3 linked regions of the Arabidopsis thaliana genome follow. The protein of the gene in region 3 interacts with the protein of the main gene of each other region in a biochemical or structural test. Each region holds a gene or a part of one and is shown on either strand. Other genes may lie near its edges.

Evidence for each region. The genes of interacting proteins can lie anywhere in the genome.
Region 1: the proteins of PEN3 (region 3) and MAPKKK19 form a complex in vitro, tested with the Arabidopsis thaliana proteins (one study listed by BioGRID).
Region 2: the proteins of PEN3 (region 3) and AT5G47420 form a complex in vitro, tested with the Arabidopsis thaliana proteins (one study listed by BioGRID).

Annotation. Positions count from the first base shown.
Region 1 is NC_003076.8:26,770,696-26,774,503, reverse strand, and holds MAPKKK19 (mitogen-activated protein kinase kinase kinase 19), read right to left. Parts: upstream 1,861-3,808; 5' UTR 1,779-1,860; coding exon 744-1,778; 3' UTR 525-743; downstream 1-524. Other genes in the region: AT5G67090 (Subtilisin-like serine endopeptidase family protein), read left to right, coding at 1-393.
Region 2 is NC_003076.8:19,231,154-19,235,590, reverse strand, and holds AT5G47420 (Tryptophan RNA-binding attenuator protein-like protein), read right to left. Parts: upstream 2,808-4,437; 5' UTR 2,579-2,807; coding exon 2,531-2,578; intron 2,309-2,530; coding exon 2,249-2,308; intron 2,154-2,248; coding exon 2,114-2,153; intron 2,029-2,113; coding exon 1,850-2,028; intron 1,744-1,849; coding exon 1,705-1,743; intron 1,602-1,704; coding exon 1,512-1,601; intron 1,403-1,511; coding exon 1,342-1,402; intron 1,255-1,341; coding exon 1,130-1,254; intron 1,039-1,129; coding exon 947-1,038; intron 868-946; coding exon 753-867; 3' UTR 525-752; downstream 1-524. Other genes in the region: AT5G47400 (sphingomyelin phosphodiesterase), read right to left, coding at 3,005-3,616, 4,090-4,206.
Region 3 is NC_003070.9:22,032,420-22,040,428, reverse strand, and holds PEN3 (ABC-2 and Plant PDR ABC-type transporter family protein), read right to left. Parts: upstream 6,007-8,009; 5' UTR 5,769-6,006; coding exon 4,931-5,768; intron 4,849-4,930; coding exon 4,718-4,848; intron 4,442-4,717; coding exon 3,179-4,441; intron 3,093-3,178; coding exon 2,936-3,092; intron 2,857-2,935; coding exon 2,752-2,856; intron 2,673-2,751; coding exon 2,527-2,672; intron 2,443-2,526; coding exon 1,601-2,442; intron 1,513-1,600; coding exon 585-1,512; 3' UTR 303-584; downstream 1-302. Other genes in the region: AT1G59865 (uncharacterized protein), read left to right, coding at 7,132-7,429, 7,790-7,895, 7,983-8,009. UniProt on the Arabidopsis thaliana protein: Together with ABCG37, regulates auxin homeostasis and responses by playing a dual role in coumarin (e.g. esculin) and in the auxin precursor indole 3-butyric acid (IBA) efflux transport, thus influencing cotyledons, roots and root hairs development.

The DNA.
Region 1 (3,808 bases), on a different chromosome or scaffold from region 3:
AGAAAATTGATCAATATCATCACGAGATCGAATATCTCCGACGCTTGTAAAAAGCCATCTCCATATCTCAATTACCCTTCAATCATTGCCTACTTCACGTCTGATCAAAGCAGTCCCAAGATCTTTAAGAGGACATTGACAAACGTGGGAGAAGCAAAGAGAAGCTACATCGTGAGAGTGAGAGGCTTGAAGGGTCTAAACGTCGTCGTAGAGCCAAAGAAACTAATGTTCAGCGAGAAAAACGAGAAGCTAAGCTACACTGTGAGATTGGAGAGTCCAAGAGGGTTACAAGAGAACGTGGTTTATGGATTGGTGAGTTGGGTTGATGAAGATGAAGCTGAGTTTGAAGTGAGCTGTTCTGTGGTGGCCACGAGCCTTGTCCAAGAGTCTTGATCTTTACTTTGCAAAAGATTTGTTTTTTTTCTTCTTTGGTTAAACTTATTCTCTTATTCCGTGTGATTATGTCTGAATATACGATCTTTATTCACATTCATGGAGAAAGATAATCGAGATAATGGGCTCATGAGTCATGAATACAATTTCCATATAGTACTAAAGAGAATCAAGATTTGAGATCATGAATACAAAACTGGTATTTACATATAAATAAATAGTCAATTTCTAATAAGAAATATTTATACAACGAATTAAATTAGAATTGTTGGATCTGACTAGGAATTAAAAAAAAGCTCTAGTCTTTCTCTGCAACTCTGTTTTTGTCCCCTGTTTTTTAATCACTATCGTCACCGTACGGTGACCCAGCTATTGGTAACAGACCAATCAGGGATCATATCAGTCACCAAACTAGCAACTCTCTCATCCGGCGAATCGATCGTTTGTGAACCGGAAGAAACCGAAACCCAATCGGGAAATTCGAATGGGCATCTCGGCGATGTCGAGACGTCCTCTGTTTTCATATTAACAACGAAATCTTCTTCTTTGACTAAAACGTCGTGATCAACATCGACGGTTACAAATGGATGGTTTAGAAGCATCTCAGCCGTCCATCTCTTTTTGGGATCTTTAACGAAACACTTTGACAAAAAATCTCTTCCTTGTTCCGACAACTCCTCGGGAATCATCGGAACCTCGTCACCAACACCGATGCGTAACAACAACGACATGAAGTTCGACCCTTCTTTTAAACTCCATGCCGTTTTACCACTAAACATCTCAACTACTACGCATCCTAAAGCCCACACGTCACCTTCTGATCCGTACTCGTTATCGTTAACAGATTCCGGCGCCATGTACAACGGCGTACCTCTAATCTGCACACCGTAATTTAACGCCGTTAAATCCCCAATTCTCTTCGCCAATCCAAAATCCGCAATCTTAACGGCGCCGTCACCGAACAACAGAATATTCCCGAGTTTTAAATCACAGTGAGCGAATCCGTTAGCGTGGATGTGTCGTAGACCTCTAAGCACCGATCCTGTGTGGCGACGCACGGTGGATTCCGGTACACCTTCACCGGCTAATTTCTTAAGATAACTCTCTAAGCTTCCTCTAGAAGCGTATTCCAAGAACAAATTATGCATCTCTTCACCGTTTTCGACCGTCCGATCCTCGCCGAAACACCGTACGATCTCGTTGCAATCGTCTCCGAGATTATCTAGAACTGATTTCTCGTTTGCCAGAGAAGCAGCGCCGTATGAGTCTGCAGATTTCACAGCCATTAACGGAGGAAACTCGCCGGAATCGTTATTAGACCGCGTCGCTAGACTTACTGTAGAAAAAGTTCCGTATCCGATAGTTTCTCCTCGAATCCACTCCATTGAAGCAAATCTACGACACGGTTGAATCAGATTTGATTAAAAGATTGAATATTTAAGCGTGTAGAGAGAAAACATGAAACAGAGCATGAAAGCTTGTGACGGTTAATGGTGCGAGTTCCTCAATTTATACTGATTTTTTTTGGTATTATTAAACAAAAAAAATGAGGTTACGATTTTTATTTTTTAAAATAATATAATTAAATGTAGAAAGACTGAATTTTGGGAGTAATTAATGCACGTGACGAGAGGAGGTTTTTCTTTGTTGAGCTGTTAAACCAAAATGAAATTTTAAGCTACGTGATATTTTCGTTATTATATTGGATAAATAAATATTGTAGCACGACTATTGTTTTGTATAAATAACTTTAATATTATCACTTACGAGGTATATATTAATTTTTGACCGGTAGTAAAATTAGTAACATGCTTGATATTCAATGAGATCATGATCGTTATATTGTTGCTAAGAGTAGTCAGTTTCTATTGAATTTGCGTTGAATCAAGTTTAATTATGTAACTCATTTATGTTTCAAAACAAGCGTGATATGATTTATTCAAAATACTTGAAAACGTACTGTAGATTTTTTTAAGTAACAAAAAAAGATTGCAATGAAACAATCACTATTAGAAACAAACACTATAACATATGCATGTGTATACATGAAGTTTACCGTAATTTTTTGGTATTCATATATTTCCGATTGTAGCTGTAATTAACAACAAAATATAACTTAGATTGTATAGAGATAATATTCTTTTCTTGGCCTATGCTCTGGACTCTCTTCCTTCGCATATGTCGTGTGAATAGGCATGGAATAGAATCATCCTCTCGCATATGCCACCCCTTCGTAGCTGTCCCTAATTATAATCACACTATTAGTAATTCTCTAATTACGTCCTGAACTCATAATATATACACATAACATGTTTCTTACATTATTTTATGGAGATCAGTATTAGTTTTATTTTTTTTAATAATGAAGTAGATATGTGGATATTCTTTGGACCATTAATAATATAAAACCATACCAAGCAAGTTGGAGTTGCAATTTTTTTTTTTCTTGACCAACCCAAGAATCAAATCCTTCTCCGTTGTAAACGCTTTAATATATTTTTTTATTTTTTGATATTTTCCGCCGTTATCCTCCACAATTATCGTTTACTAATTAGAATAGTTAGCTCTAAAGTAAACTAATTAGCGACCTCTTATTAGGGCACCAACTGCGATAAGCAGAAAACTAATATGCTTTCGAATAATACGACTAATTAAAGATATGTGTGTTATAAGCTTACAACTATGTCCGATAAAATCACAACTCTAACCAATAGAACTAAGTAAACAAAGTTAATTTAGAAAGTAGTTGAAAAATACAGTTTAGACTCTATTTAGATGTTTGCTTACGACTATTGATTATAACATTTTGTATACAACAGAAATTTAGTACACAAACTTTGGCATGTGAGCTCTAAGTTTTACTTTAATGTTATAAATTTACCATTTCCCAATAGACGCAACTGTTTTCGATGCTTCAACAAAAGAAAAGGAGAAAATAAAAGAGAACTTTATCAGACAACTCTCCAATCATTTTTCTTATTTGATTTATCACATATATCTATTATTATAGTGCTCTTATGTAGTTTACTTCATGGCCAACTTGCCTGCTCAAGTCTGGATCCCTATGGGCATGACTTCATTAAATCAATTTAAATTTTAAATTTTAAATTTTTTAAATTGATATTGAGTTTGATATTTTCATTTTTAAAATGGCCAAGAAAAGCGCGGGAGTGGAAGGGGTGCTTCGCACTGAAGTCATTCGACCCCAACAGACTTTCGCAAGTTGCGGCGGCTCTGATTTTTATTCTATTTCAGTACGTAAACAATTTATACTATATTCAAAATATAATTACTGTATTCTCTGTGATATTTGTGTAATAAGAAAAAGAAAGATAATTGACGTTGTAACGGAGCCTAACAAATATCGAGACGAAGACAAGTTGAAGGAAGAAAGGGAAGGTTGTTTTGTAAATTA
Region 2 (4,437 bases), on a different chromosome or scaffold from region 3:
ATTTATTCTTGTTGGTCTAGCTTCACTGATTTGAGAGATCTTATGTGCGAATCGTAAACATGTTTAAGAATGGTTGTAGTCACTTCTTATAACGTAAATGTATTCATCGTATCGTAAGATCCGTATCCATGAGTAATTCGAATAGTTTAAAAAGTAAACGGAAAAAACGGAGTATTGTATATTGTTGAAATTCGTGTGTTAACACCTATGACATTTCGCTGTTTTCAAAATTGTGAATTTTTGCTTGAGCATGTTTACTGTTTTTGACAGTTCAATGTTTTTGGAAAACTATTAACTCCTGCTATAATCCATTTTCTGAAAATTAGTCCATGATATCATTGAGACATTCTCTTGAGTCTTGACTATATGATCCATTGGTAACGAATTAATCCAGATTTTTTTTTTTGAATTAATCCAATTTCTTAACCATCCGATGAAAATTAATCAATAATATCATTAGACATTAATTATTTAACAAAACAAAAAATCAAATTAATTAATTTAAATTGATGTGTGATTTAAGTAAAGAATCCAATTTTTGTTCAACTCGGTATCTACGTTTTCACTTTTCAATATATAGGAGCAATATCAATATAACACAAGTGCCTAAACTCACTAGTAAACGAAAAGAAAATGGTTTGAGATGTGTCTAATTCATCTTCACTCTATCCATCCAAAGTCCAAACCCGAGATAATTTGAACAATTACAACGTTAGTTTGTTGGTCGGATAATTCTTTCTATCTCTCTGCTTTCAAACTTCGGTTAAGATCAACGATGACAAAATCACAGCGTATGCTAGGAACGCAAATATAGCTATCTGTATCAGCAATTTTGGATTCTCTCTCATGTTTGGCGACGTTACCGACCTGTCACAGAAAAACCATTCACACTTTATATAAACATATTTGCAACATAAATGGAGATTTGGATTGTTGGTTGCTTTACCTTGCAATACGCTGCGAGAGCCGATGAAACGGTAAGCTTTGAATGAAGACAATGCCAGGCCCCGTTAGAGTCGCCATTACTACGTTATCACCCTTTTGAATGTTGAAAGATTAAAACAGTTGAGAAACAAAACAAAAACCTGAATCTTCTTCTCATTGAAACAAAGTATATGTGAAAATGTACCCCGAATAGTGCTCGTCTAAAAGGAGCATTGTTTTTGATTCGGACATCGATAGAGGGTGTGAGAGCAGCAATACAGGAAACGTCAATGGAGAAAACTTCTCCTACCTCCAGAACTTTTTGTACAACTAACATGTTTGGGATGTTAAATGTCAGTTTTATTGAAGGGGATGAGGCCTCAACGGAAACAGCATTTCATTGGGATAAAATCTCACCAGAGCCACCTGCGAGGATGAAAGCAAGACCTTGTCCAGATAGGCGTTGTCTCAGAAATCCCTGCAACAGCAATTTGTGAGTAGAAGCCAGACAACGGGTTGCAGAATTTTGTTAAGAATAATAATTGCATCAGAAACCAAATCAACGTATTTTCCTTCTTAGTTCTTACCTCTGCACCAGCGGCAACAATGTTTCTTGCTCTCTGGTCAACGGAGTTGACAACCTTCACATCATGGACAGAACAAAGGAATGCATCTGGCTACAGAAAGTGAAGAAAAGGTCAGGCGACTCTGTAAGAGCTTGATCTGAGTGAAGAAGAAGCTGATAGCTAAGTGTTCAAAATCTAGGAAAAAAGACTCTACCTGGCATAAGATCTCACCTCCAAACATTGCCAAATCAATCTACATGGAAAACAAAGATCACAAAAACAACAAGGAATCAGGCGGTATACATTAAGGGTGAAATGGAAGATGATTATGCCAACATGGACAAGCTAAAATCACTAACCGGGAGAATCCTAGCCAAATAAGGTGCAGCAATACCAACAAACCCGTCGTTTTGCCCAGTATTCCGAAGAACAACACTGCTTACACTCTTGCCCAAAATCCACTGCAGAACTCCAACTTCTTGTTCAGGAGTGTATGTATTTTCCATCTCGATGGAGCCAGACATGTAGCACATGGAAGCTACATCACCATAACACAAAATTAGTTGAAACTTGAAACCATTATACAAAACTGAGTAGAGAAGCGAGTTATTCAGTGGAAGTACCAGGCTTAGCAATGACTTTCTCCTCTGACTTTAACATTATCTGCCAACATACGAGCAATGGTTAGAGAAGTTAAAATTATATGGCATATAACCCACAAATACGAAGATCACGCTATATTAAGAAAGCAAATGTACCTGAACAACTTGGGATTCACCACCCAAAATCTGGAACGGTGTAATAGTATCTTGTTGACTCTGCATCAAATGGCCACTTATTAGACAACACTAGAACAATGTCATGATCTAAAATCCCTAATTGGCCCGATTATGCGTTCTCCCAGCTAAGTTAAACTAATCAAAGATGGAATTTCTCTAAATCCTACTTACAATGAACCTCAAATTTAGTCAAATTGCAACTAAGAAGAACACGACCTCATCATTTTGAAAGCGAAATGATCAAAGAGAGAAGAAGCACACCTGGTAGACATAAGGCTGAAATGGAGTTGAAAAAAACGGAGCGGCCATAGTGGTGAAGACCACAGAGAAGATCTGTAACCAAAACCTTCTGAGGAGCTTTAACAAATTCGCGACAGATCTAAGAACACAGAAGAATTCTCCGGTCAATTTCGAACGATCAGATCACAAAGCAAGTGGCAGAAATTCGAAATTTGGTGTTCGGAATTGTGATAGTCAGCGACGAACGACCGATGAATTTTGCTGATGGGTGGATCTTATTGGCAGATGACACGTGGAGACTGATTACGTGGACCATTCTCATTGGTTGTAACAAGTAAAGACACGCTTCAATTTGTAATGCGAACATGTAAATTACCAAAAAACTCAGTCCCTGTTTCGTAAATAAGCTTTCCAATTCCTATCAAACGCTCTACGCGAGTTAGAGTGTCTATTTCCTTTTACTTCTTCAACTTTTAACACATTTTGGACACCCATCTACCAAATCATCCTTGTGACTACCCTTTTGACTACAAGAAACAGGACATAGAGAAATAAAAGCATCAGAAACTTTTTTGAAGCCATAACCCGAAGATTGACTCGAATCCCGAATCTTCTCATCAGCTGCAACACTGTGCCACATACCATCACCATCCCTCGCAACAGCATCTTCGCAGCATCTCCAGGTCCTGCAACGTTTCCCACATCTTCCCCTGATACATCTACATATGATACTGACTCTGAATTCTCTTTCTTGTCGTTGCTCGTCTCAGATTTGTTCAGCCCGAGGCGTTCATTGAGCCAAATAGACATGTTGATTAGCAGTTTAGCCATCAATGCAACCTCGTCTTCTGACACCGGACGGGTCATCCAGTCCCCTTTGTACTTCACACCGCCTGCTGTTTGGTTACCAGCACCACGTGGCTTGAAGAGCTCGTCACGGTTTTTCTGAGGATGGTCCGGCTCTAGGAAAAAAGCGATTGGTTTTACGACATGCCCGCCAAAGAAGTTGGAAACCGCTGATTTTAGTGAATCTACACACTTAAGGGCCTCTGTGAGGTTTTTATCGGATACAGTTTGCAGTTCGGCTTCTGCCCGCAGTATGAATAGCTGCAAATGCAAAGAACAAACGCCTTCAGCAAAGTAAAACAGGTTTTAAGCTCCACTCCCCCCCTATGAGCTAAAGGATTCAAGAGTCGTATAAACTAAAGTAGAGTATCGGAAACAAGAAAACATGCGATACAACTAGGTTACTGAAAAACAAATGTAGGAGAACTAGTTCTCAAAGTATATTTCCGTGAACAATTTCTCAAAAAACAAATTCCCAAGTTAATAGCTCACAACATTGCCGATGACTGCGTACTCATCTAATTGTCAAGTAACAAATTCTCCTGTTAATATAGATAGAAGGCTACAAACAACAAACAAGTAAATCTGAAGGTTTATCTATATATTTGTCAACTAGATCATTCCATAATAGAGCTATTTTAAGTACATTTGAAGATATCATCCTACAAAGATTATCTTCCATTTTTTTATTCCTAACTTATCACTACAGTAGGTTATAAAAGGAAGACATTAACCTGAAGCAGTTGTTGTCCGCCATCTTCACCATCACTAAAGAGTTTCAAGTCTTTGTTCCAGTTTTCATGCAAGTATGAGCCATCAGCGTTGCTCTCACACAACCCATCTTCCCAATCCTGAAGTTCCACAAGCAGTTAAACATGATTTTTCAGTATAGAGTTTGAGTACTTATGTGACTTATGTGAAAAAAAGATTGATTTTACAGTCTTTTGTTAAACTTCCAAGGGTGTTATGATGAAAAAGCTAAATAAGTATGAAGACAAAGGATGGCGGATACATAAGAGTAAAATCACTGGAAAAGCGTTCTATGACCGGAGAACAGATAACAACTGGTGTTGAGGAAAAAT
Region 3 (8,009 bases):
GGCCTAAACATTTGGGTATGATTAAATGGAAATTTGATTGGGAGGACTTTTGGTAGGATTTAAGGAAATTTTAGGTGATTTAATCCAAAATTCAAAATCGTTTTGTCGTTGTAAGATAGACTTTTCTATATTTAGAAAAACTGATTTATTGAGATTTCTCATTAAACTTTATGATATTGGTGTTGTGTTGTGATAATTTTTACAGAACCATGTTATACAATTATCAAGATTTAATCATGAAGAACATTAACTTATCCTCCATTGATTTTGTCTTCTTTGATAATGGATATGATCACACTTTTTTTCTGTCTTCTTCCTCTTATTGGAAGTATCGTAAAATAAAAAGTCTCAAGAAACAAACAAAAATGGACTTTGAGGGATTTGTGGATATAAACACAAAAAAAAGTGGAATTATATTACATGATTCCGATTCGTCATCATCTATAAGACAATAAATAAAAATATTCAAAAAAATTTCGTTATGACACTACAATACATATTTAGAACATACAAAGCTTATAGTGCATATAAACAACACAGAGGATACAAAAAAAGAAAGAGACTTTGTTGTTTGAGAGATGGTTTTATCTGGTCTGGAAGTTGAGAGTTCTGATGCAGAAGGCGAAGATGAAGGCGAAGAAGACGGTGAAAGCGATGAGTACAGCCGCCACTGGTCCCATAAAGTCAGATTGGAAACCATAATGGTCCTCAATGTATTGCTTGACGGTTAAGTCAGGAGCACCACCAAGGACTTGGATACGTGTCTCCACATCACCGTACTGCGACACTATCAATCCATACACGGTCCATGCAACAGGGCAGATCCAGTAGTACCAAATCCACCATTTTGGGATTTTGGGTCTTGGAATGAAGAAACCAGAGAAGAGGTTGAAAATACCGTAAAACGCTGAGGCGAAAATCGAAGCGACTTGTTGGTTTGGTGTGAGGGAAACAGTCATCATGCCGTAGTAAGTCCAGTAGAGGAATGAGAAGTAGCTAACGAAGACGAACCAGAAGAACTTTTCGGCTTTCCATTCGAAACCAACCATGGCGTAGACGATGAGTGAGTAGTAAACGGTTTGAATAAGGACATAGGGAAGCTCACAAGTGACTTGAGAGATGGCATATGGCATGGCTGAGTACATTCCTGCTGCTCTTTCTCTGTAGAACACTGTTCTTTCCACTGCAACCATCGGTTGTACTGTTGAACAGTTGTTGATTCCCACGAAGATAATCGCGGCATACAATGCTCCTATCACCATTGTTAGATCCCCTGCGTTCGACCTGTTACCTCCGATTTGCCAGAAGACTGTACCAATCAAGAGAGATGTTGCCAATGTGAAGATGAAACGGACAAGATTGTAGTCTGGAGATCTCCAATACGTCCACCATTGTTTCCATAAGCATGATTTGAACTGTCCCCATGTGTTTTGTGAGAATTGTGTAGCAAAGTAAAGATCTGATGCTCCTGCTGGTGGTACACTTAGTTCTTTTACCAACGCTTTGTTTCGCCTGCATTTTGTTATGTATTCATTAGTACTATTACTTAAACAATCAATCAGATGCAATGAGCCATGGAAAAGAAGGAACTTAAACTTACTGGTGCAATGCTGATTGATTGTATAACTCAGCAAAGTCAACACTAAGCTTTAGCTCAGCGGCGAGTGAGCTAGCTTCGAGCATCCAAGTGGCCGGGTTATACTTTTCTGGAATCTTGGACACTCCGGGGAAAGATTCAAAGTACTCAACCACCTTGTGAGAGTTTTGACCCAATGGACCCGCGTAAATCACTTGTCCTCCTCTCTTCATCAGCATCAATTCATCAAATGCTTCAAAGATATCAATGCTAGGCTGATGAATGGTGCAGACCACGGTTCTTCCAGTGTCCACTGTGTTCCTTACCGCCCTCATCACAATAGCCGCTGCTCTAGCGTCTAGCCCTGAAGTTGGCTCATCCATAAAGATGATGGAAGGGTTGGCTACAAGCTCCACCGCGATTGTCAGTCTCTTTCTCTGCTCCGTGGAAAGCCCCGTGACACCCGGTAAACCAACAATGGAGTCCCTAAGACTGTCCAGCTCTACCAATTCCATCACTTGATCCACAAACATCATTTTTTCATCTTTGCCGACTTCTTTAGGAAGACGAAGGAAAGCAGAGAAAATCAGAGATTCTCTGACTGTTACTTGCGGGGAGTGAATATCGGTCTGCTCACAATATCCTGAGATTCTAGCAAATGTTTCTTGAACCTTTGGGAATCCTGATATTCTCACATCTCCTTCAATGTATCCACCTGTTTTCCTTCCGGCCAAAACGTCCATAAGCGTAGTCTTACCGGCACCACTCACTCCCATAAGCGCAGTCAAAACTCCTGGCCTAAATGCACCAGTCACACCTTTAAGCAGTTGGAGTCTTGTTTCTGTAACTCCTTGGTCTCTCATTTCCTATACCATCAAAAGATATCTATTTAGTTTAAGTAATTCATATTTAATTTAGTGTAAAGATTTTAAGTGAAGATAGTTACTTACCCCAGGCATGTCAACAAAGTATTTGACGTCGTCAAAGGACATAGCTAAAGGAGTGAAAGGAAGAACCATTCCTTTCTTATTGCCTGCACCACCTGATGCTTCAGCCGCAGAGTCCCTACTCATTCTCCCCATTGCGACCTCTCCTCCTGATAGCAGGGAGCAGAATGAGACAAGAGTACAAGAAAAGCAAAACATCTAAGCAGATTAAGAAATGTGTTTACTTACTTCTGTTCCCATCTGCAGTAGACAAAGATCTACGCATTGGATCTTTCCCCTGATCAGCGTCTTCATTTTCTTCTTCTGGAAGTAAACCTGCCTTCTTCCCAAGAGCTGTAGTTTCAAAGGTACATTATTAGTAGTCTATTGTTTTTAGATTTGGTAAAACGGGTGATACAACACGAGAACTTACGGTTGAGATAGGTAAGTGCCAAGGTGAATAGAATGTTGAAGAGGGCTGTGAAACAAAGCAAGGCTCCAACTGAAATCCAGTACCAGTTCTTTTGATGGTAGACATCCCAAGTATTAAGCACCATAGTTCCAAGCTTTATTGTGCTGTTAGAAGAAGCCTGTAATTTGAAAAAAATATGACTCAGAGGCGGCTTTACTATGATATTTGTTTGTAAAATGCAGAATAAAGAAGTAAGCCACTTACCATTTTGTTCATCCATCTGGGAGCAAACATTTCATTGACTACTAGACCGTTGAAAGCATAGGTGAGAGGAGATACCCAGTAAGCCCAACCCCACCAGTCAGGAATCTTGCCTTTCGGAAGAAGGAAGCCTCCGAGCAAGAACACAAGAAGTAGAGTGAGAGCACCACCAGTATTAGCAATCATCATGGTTCTGCACACAGAAGCAATCAACCTAAAGAGGGATGCAGCCATTTGTTGAATCAGAAACACCAGAAGAAACTGCTTGAAGAAGCGGCTGGCGTCAGGTGCAAAACCAATGGAGTAATAAGTCACCACCATCCAAGCCGTCGATTCTAATATTGAGCTTGGAATCCCAAGCAAGAAAGTGGGAAGTGAGAAGGTCCAGGATGGATAAAACAAGAGATCCCTCTGTTTGTAGAACACAGGGAGTCTTGAAACCATCATAGCCATCTCCGCAAACCCATTAAACATGTTGATGATCATTCCAAATAGCAATGCTCCTATGTAGAGATTAGCATCACCCTCGTTTCTTGTGTTCATTTCGGTTCTCAGGAAGAGTGTAGACGTGATTGCAGCAATGATGACGATCTGGACAGTCTTGAAAACATAGAAGAACGCGTTTCGCTGCATAAGCAGCCACTCTTTGTCCCAACAGCTCTTGAGAAGCTCCCTCTTTGAGACAGAGTACTTATCGAACACAAGAGCTGCTTTGTGGCCGCGAGACTTATCGAACGGTACTGCAAGTTCGTTAGACATCTTCGTCCCAACATGGAAACTCTTGTATCTACTGGCAAACTCTGAAACCGGAATGTAGTGATAAGGTCTGTTCGGGTTCACCCAGTACTGTTCTTGATCTTTCTTGGAAGTAACCTCTTGCAGGAAATCAGCTGTTCCTTTTCTCTCAGGACACTTGAACCCAAAGCTCTCAAAGAACTCAAGAATGTTGTCTCTCGGTCCTTGGTACACGATCTGACCTTCCGACACCAAGATGATATCATCGAATAAATCAAAAGTCTCAGGAGCAGGCTGGAGGAGAGACATGAGCACCGTGGCTTCATTGAGGTGAACGATTTGTTGCAGACACTTGACGATTTGGAAAGTAGTGGAACTGTCAAGACCAGTGGATATTTCGTCCATGAAGAGTGTCTTAGTAGGTCCAACAATCATCTCACCAGTTGTGACACGTTTCTTCTGACCTCCAGATATACCTCTCATCATGTCATCTCCAACTATTGTGTCTTTGCAAATGTCAAGCCCCAAAATCTGTTACACGGCCAAAGTTAGTATTATACAAAAAAAGACTCAAAACTTTATGAACATGAGAAAAGATTGTCTAGAACATTTTTAGAATATGAAAACTTATATCAATATTCTAAAATAATGAAACCAAACGGTTAATGAATAAATTCCGGTTCAGTTTCGGTTTATAAAAAACGATTTAGTTCGATTCGATTTTATGAGTTGCTTGCCTAGTAACAAACACTCTTCTTGAAACAAAAAGAACAAGATGAGCTAAGTTAAGGCGAGAGTTGGACTCACTTTGAGAGTATAATCAGTGACGAGACTGTTCTTAACACCTTGAGCAGCAGAAGCTTTCATGAAGAGATCAACATCGGCTTCCGGGAATATACCAGCGTCCTTTTCTCTCCTCGCAAGCTCATTCAACAGATCTACAACAACAAGAATCAAAACCATTCAACAAAACTGAATCTTGAAAAAAAGATATGATTAAAGATTGAATCTTTTACTTACCATAACGAGTACCAACACCTTGACACCTAGCAGAGAAGTCAAGAGTCTCCTTAACAGTCATGATACCAACATGAAGATCGTTCTGACTAATGTAAGCAGAGGTCTTTCTCGGAACAAACTCATCGAGTTGGTAACCATTGTAAGTAATATCACCACTGACTTGTAGAGATTTATCAAGTTTCCCAGCTAAAGCCAACAAAAGAGTGGTCTTACCAGAAGAAGGAGGACCCAACAAAAGTGTCATCCTTCCAGGTTTAATAACCCCAGAGATATCTTTAAGAATCGTAAGCTGAGCTTTCTTAGCAAATTGAATACCAATCATACCTAAAGCAGACTCTCCCATGTTCCTCACAACATTCAAAAGTGTAGGAAGAGATCTATTACCAGTGTAACAATCAGCTTTAATCGTCAAATGCTCGTACCTGACTTCAACAGTTGGAAGTTTGATACCAACTCTATCGATCCTGTTTCTTAGCTTAGTCAAGATCCTTTCATTATCTTGCTCAGCTACTTTGAAAACCATGTCAATAAACTTCTGACGATCTTCACCATCAAGCTTGGTTACATCAACCTCCTTGCTCATGAGCTGGTTACCGTAAACATCGTCTTCGACTACAGCGTTCATGAGAGTGGTTCGGAGACGACTGTAAGTTGGTAGCTTCTCAATGGCAGCCCATTTAAGAGCTTCTTCATCGTCGTTGACTGATTGTGTTCTTCTTGAACCAGATGAGAAGATATCTTCAATGTTCCTACTTGCTCTGCTTACACTTCGACTTATGCTTCTTCTCATACTAACACCACCTCCTCCTAAAGGAGGAAGATTTGGATTGTAATCCATCGTTCACCAAGAAAGCTTGTGACTTTGGCTCAAAGTTTATGTCTTTTGAACAAAGTTTGTGTTTTTGGATCAAAGTTTGAGACTTTGGATCTAATCCCGTGAGGATTTAGTTGGGTGATACAGAGAAGAGAGAGAGGAGGAAGATGATGAATGAAGAGAAGAGGGTGGGATTAGAAAATGGATAAATAGGGAGTGAGGAAGGAACATCAAGGCGGACTTTTCTTTATGTTGACTATTCATACTTTGTTGAAATAATCAAAAATAATAAAAAGTCGTGTTTTTTATGTGCAAGATGGGTTTTATTATTCAAATGTGACGGCTCTTTTACGTTGTTTTTTTATTTACAAAAGATATTTTTTGTGCTAATAATGCGACGGCTCTTTAACGTTTGTTATTTTATTGCAAAGATATTATGTAATAATTGAAGTGTTTGAACATTTCTTATTCAAAGTCAATAACGATGACCCCATTTAGTTATAGCTACTACTAGTGGAGATATCGTTAAATGAAAAGTCTTTCTTGTGTACTTTGTTTCTTTTCTACATTTTATTGGTGAGAAAAGAAAGGAAGACCGTCGTTGGGTTTTGAAGTCATTGTGTTGATGAAGTCACATTCACATTTCAATTCAACACATACGTGAAGGATGGTTTGTTTATAAGTCTTTGTGTTCTGGAAAGTGAGAAGTTGCGGAGGAAGAAGCCATTTAAATACCCGGAATAAGAAGTTTTAGTGACAACTCCTCAATGTTGTTATGATAAGAAGACTCCATTGACTTCCTCTTAAACTCTGCGTTTGGCTATTTTCTCAACTAATCTTTGATTAGTGCTCTGCATTTTGTGTATTAACCAATGTCTAATTCATTCCTTCAGCCAGCAAATTTCATTTTCCTGAGCTCTTCTCAGCTTCTTTAGTAATGCTCTATAGGTTGGTTTCTTTGTCAATTAAGCTCTCGGTCTTCTTCAGTCTGCAGTTTATACTCCAAGTTTTCATTTACCTTTGAGGACGACTCATCGATTTTTTCAAGAGAACAAACCTACATTGCTCTGAGTTTTCTAAAGCAATGTTCTTTGGCTTGACTTCGTTGACCAACAAGCTTCCTTTAAATTTCATGCTTCCAGTTTCTGCTTCTCTAACTCTTTCCTACAGATCCTCATTCTTCTCCTCAAGTTCCTTCAGTTTATTCTCATTTACCTTGCCAAGTTCCCGACTTTTCCGCGCAAATGAAGTTCTCGCTGTCTCTACACAGTCTTAGAATGGACAAACTCATTTTGGGTGTTTACTTATCTCAGTCTTCAAGAATTTTTCCTTACTTTTCACTTGTATATTTTGCAGCCAACTTATAACTTTTAATTTGGGCTCCACAATGTTCAAGCTATGGTTGACATATCAACAAGACCTTCTCCAATCCTTGCCTTGCTTTAAAAACGCTTCACTTGTATCCACCAAGCTTTCATATACCTTTGACAAGTTATCGAGTTTTTCAAGAGAAAAAACCTTCATTGCTCTGAGCTTTCTGTTTTCTAAAGCAACCTTCTTTGCCTCGACTTTCATGCTTCCAGTCTCCGCTTCTCCAACTCTTTCCTACAAATCCTCACTCTTCTCCTCAAGTTCCTTAAGTGTATTTTTCATACATGCTTCTTCTTCTTCTCATTTTCCTGAAGGTCAGACAAATTCACTTTGCCAAGTTCCCAATTTTCCACACAACTGAAGTTCTCGCTGTTCCCACATAGTCTTAGAATTGAAAAACTCATTTTGAGTGTGTACTTATCTCAGTCTTCAAGAATTTTTCCACAGTTTTCATTTGTATCTTTTGCAGCCAACTTATACCTTTTCATTTGGGCTCCACAATGTTCAAGCTATGGTTGACATATCAACAAGATCTTCTCCAATGCTTCCCTTGCTTTAAAAATACTTAACTTGCAAATCCAAAGTTAAGCTTTCCATAGCTTTGTTGCTTTTCTCTTATTTTCTTCTTCTTCTTACAGTTTTTTCCTGTCTGAGTTTGTCATTGGCTTCCTTAGTCGATTTTCAGCAGATCATCAAGAGCTCTAGCTTTATCTTTCTTAAGCATTGCTACTTCCATATTACCTCTCCTAAAACCCTCCTGAATCTGATTCAGTTGAGCAGGTACCTCAAAATTCCTTCACTGTTATTACACGTTCTGAAAAATGCCAAAAACAATATGATGATCAATCAATTAACTAAATTGGCCAGACTAGTTCACATTGGTGTTGGCCAAAG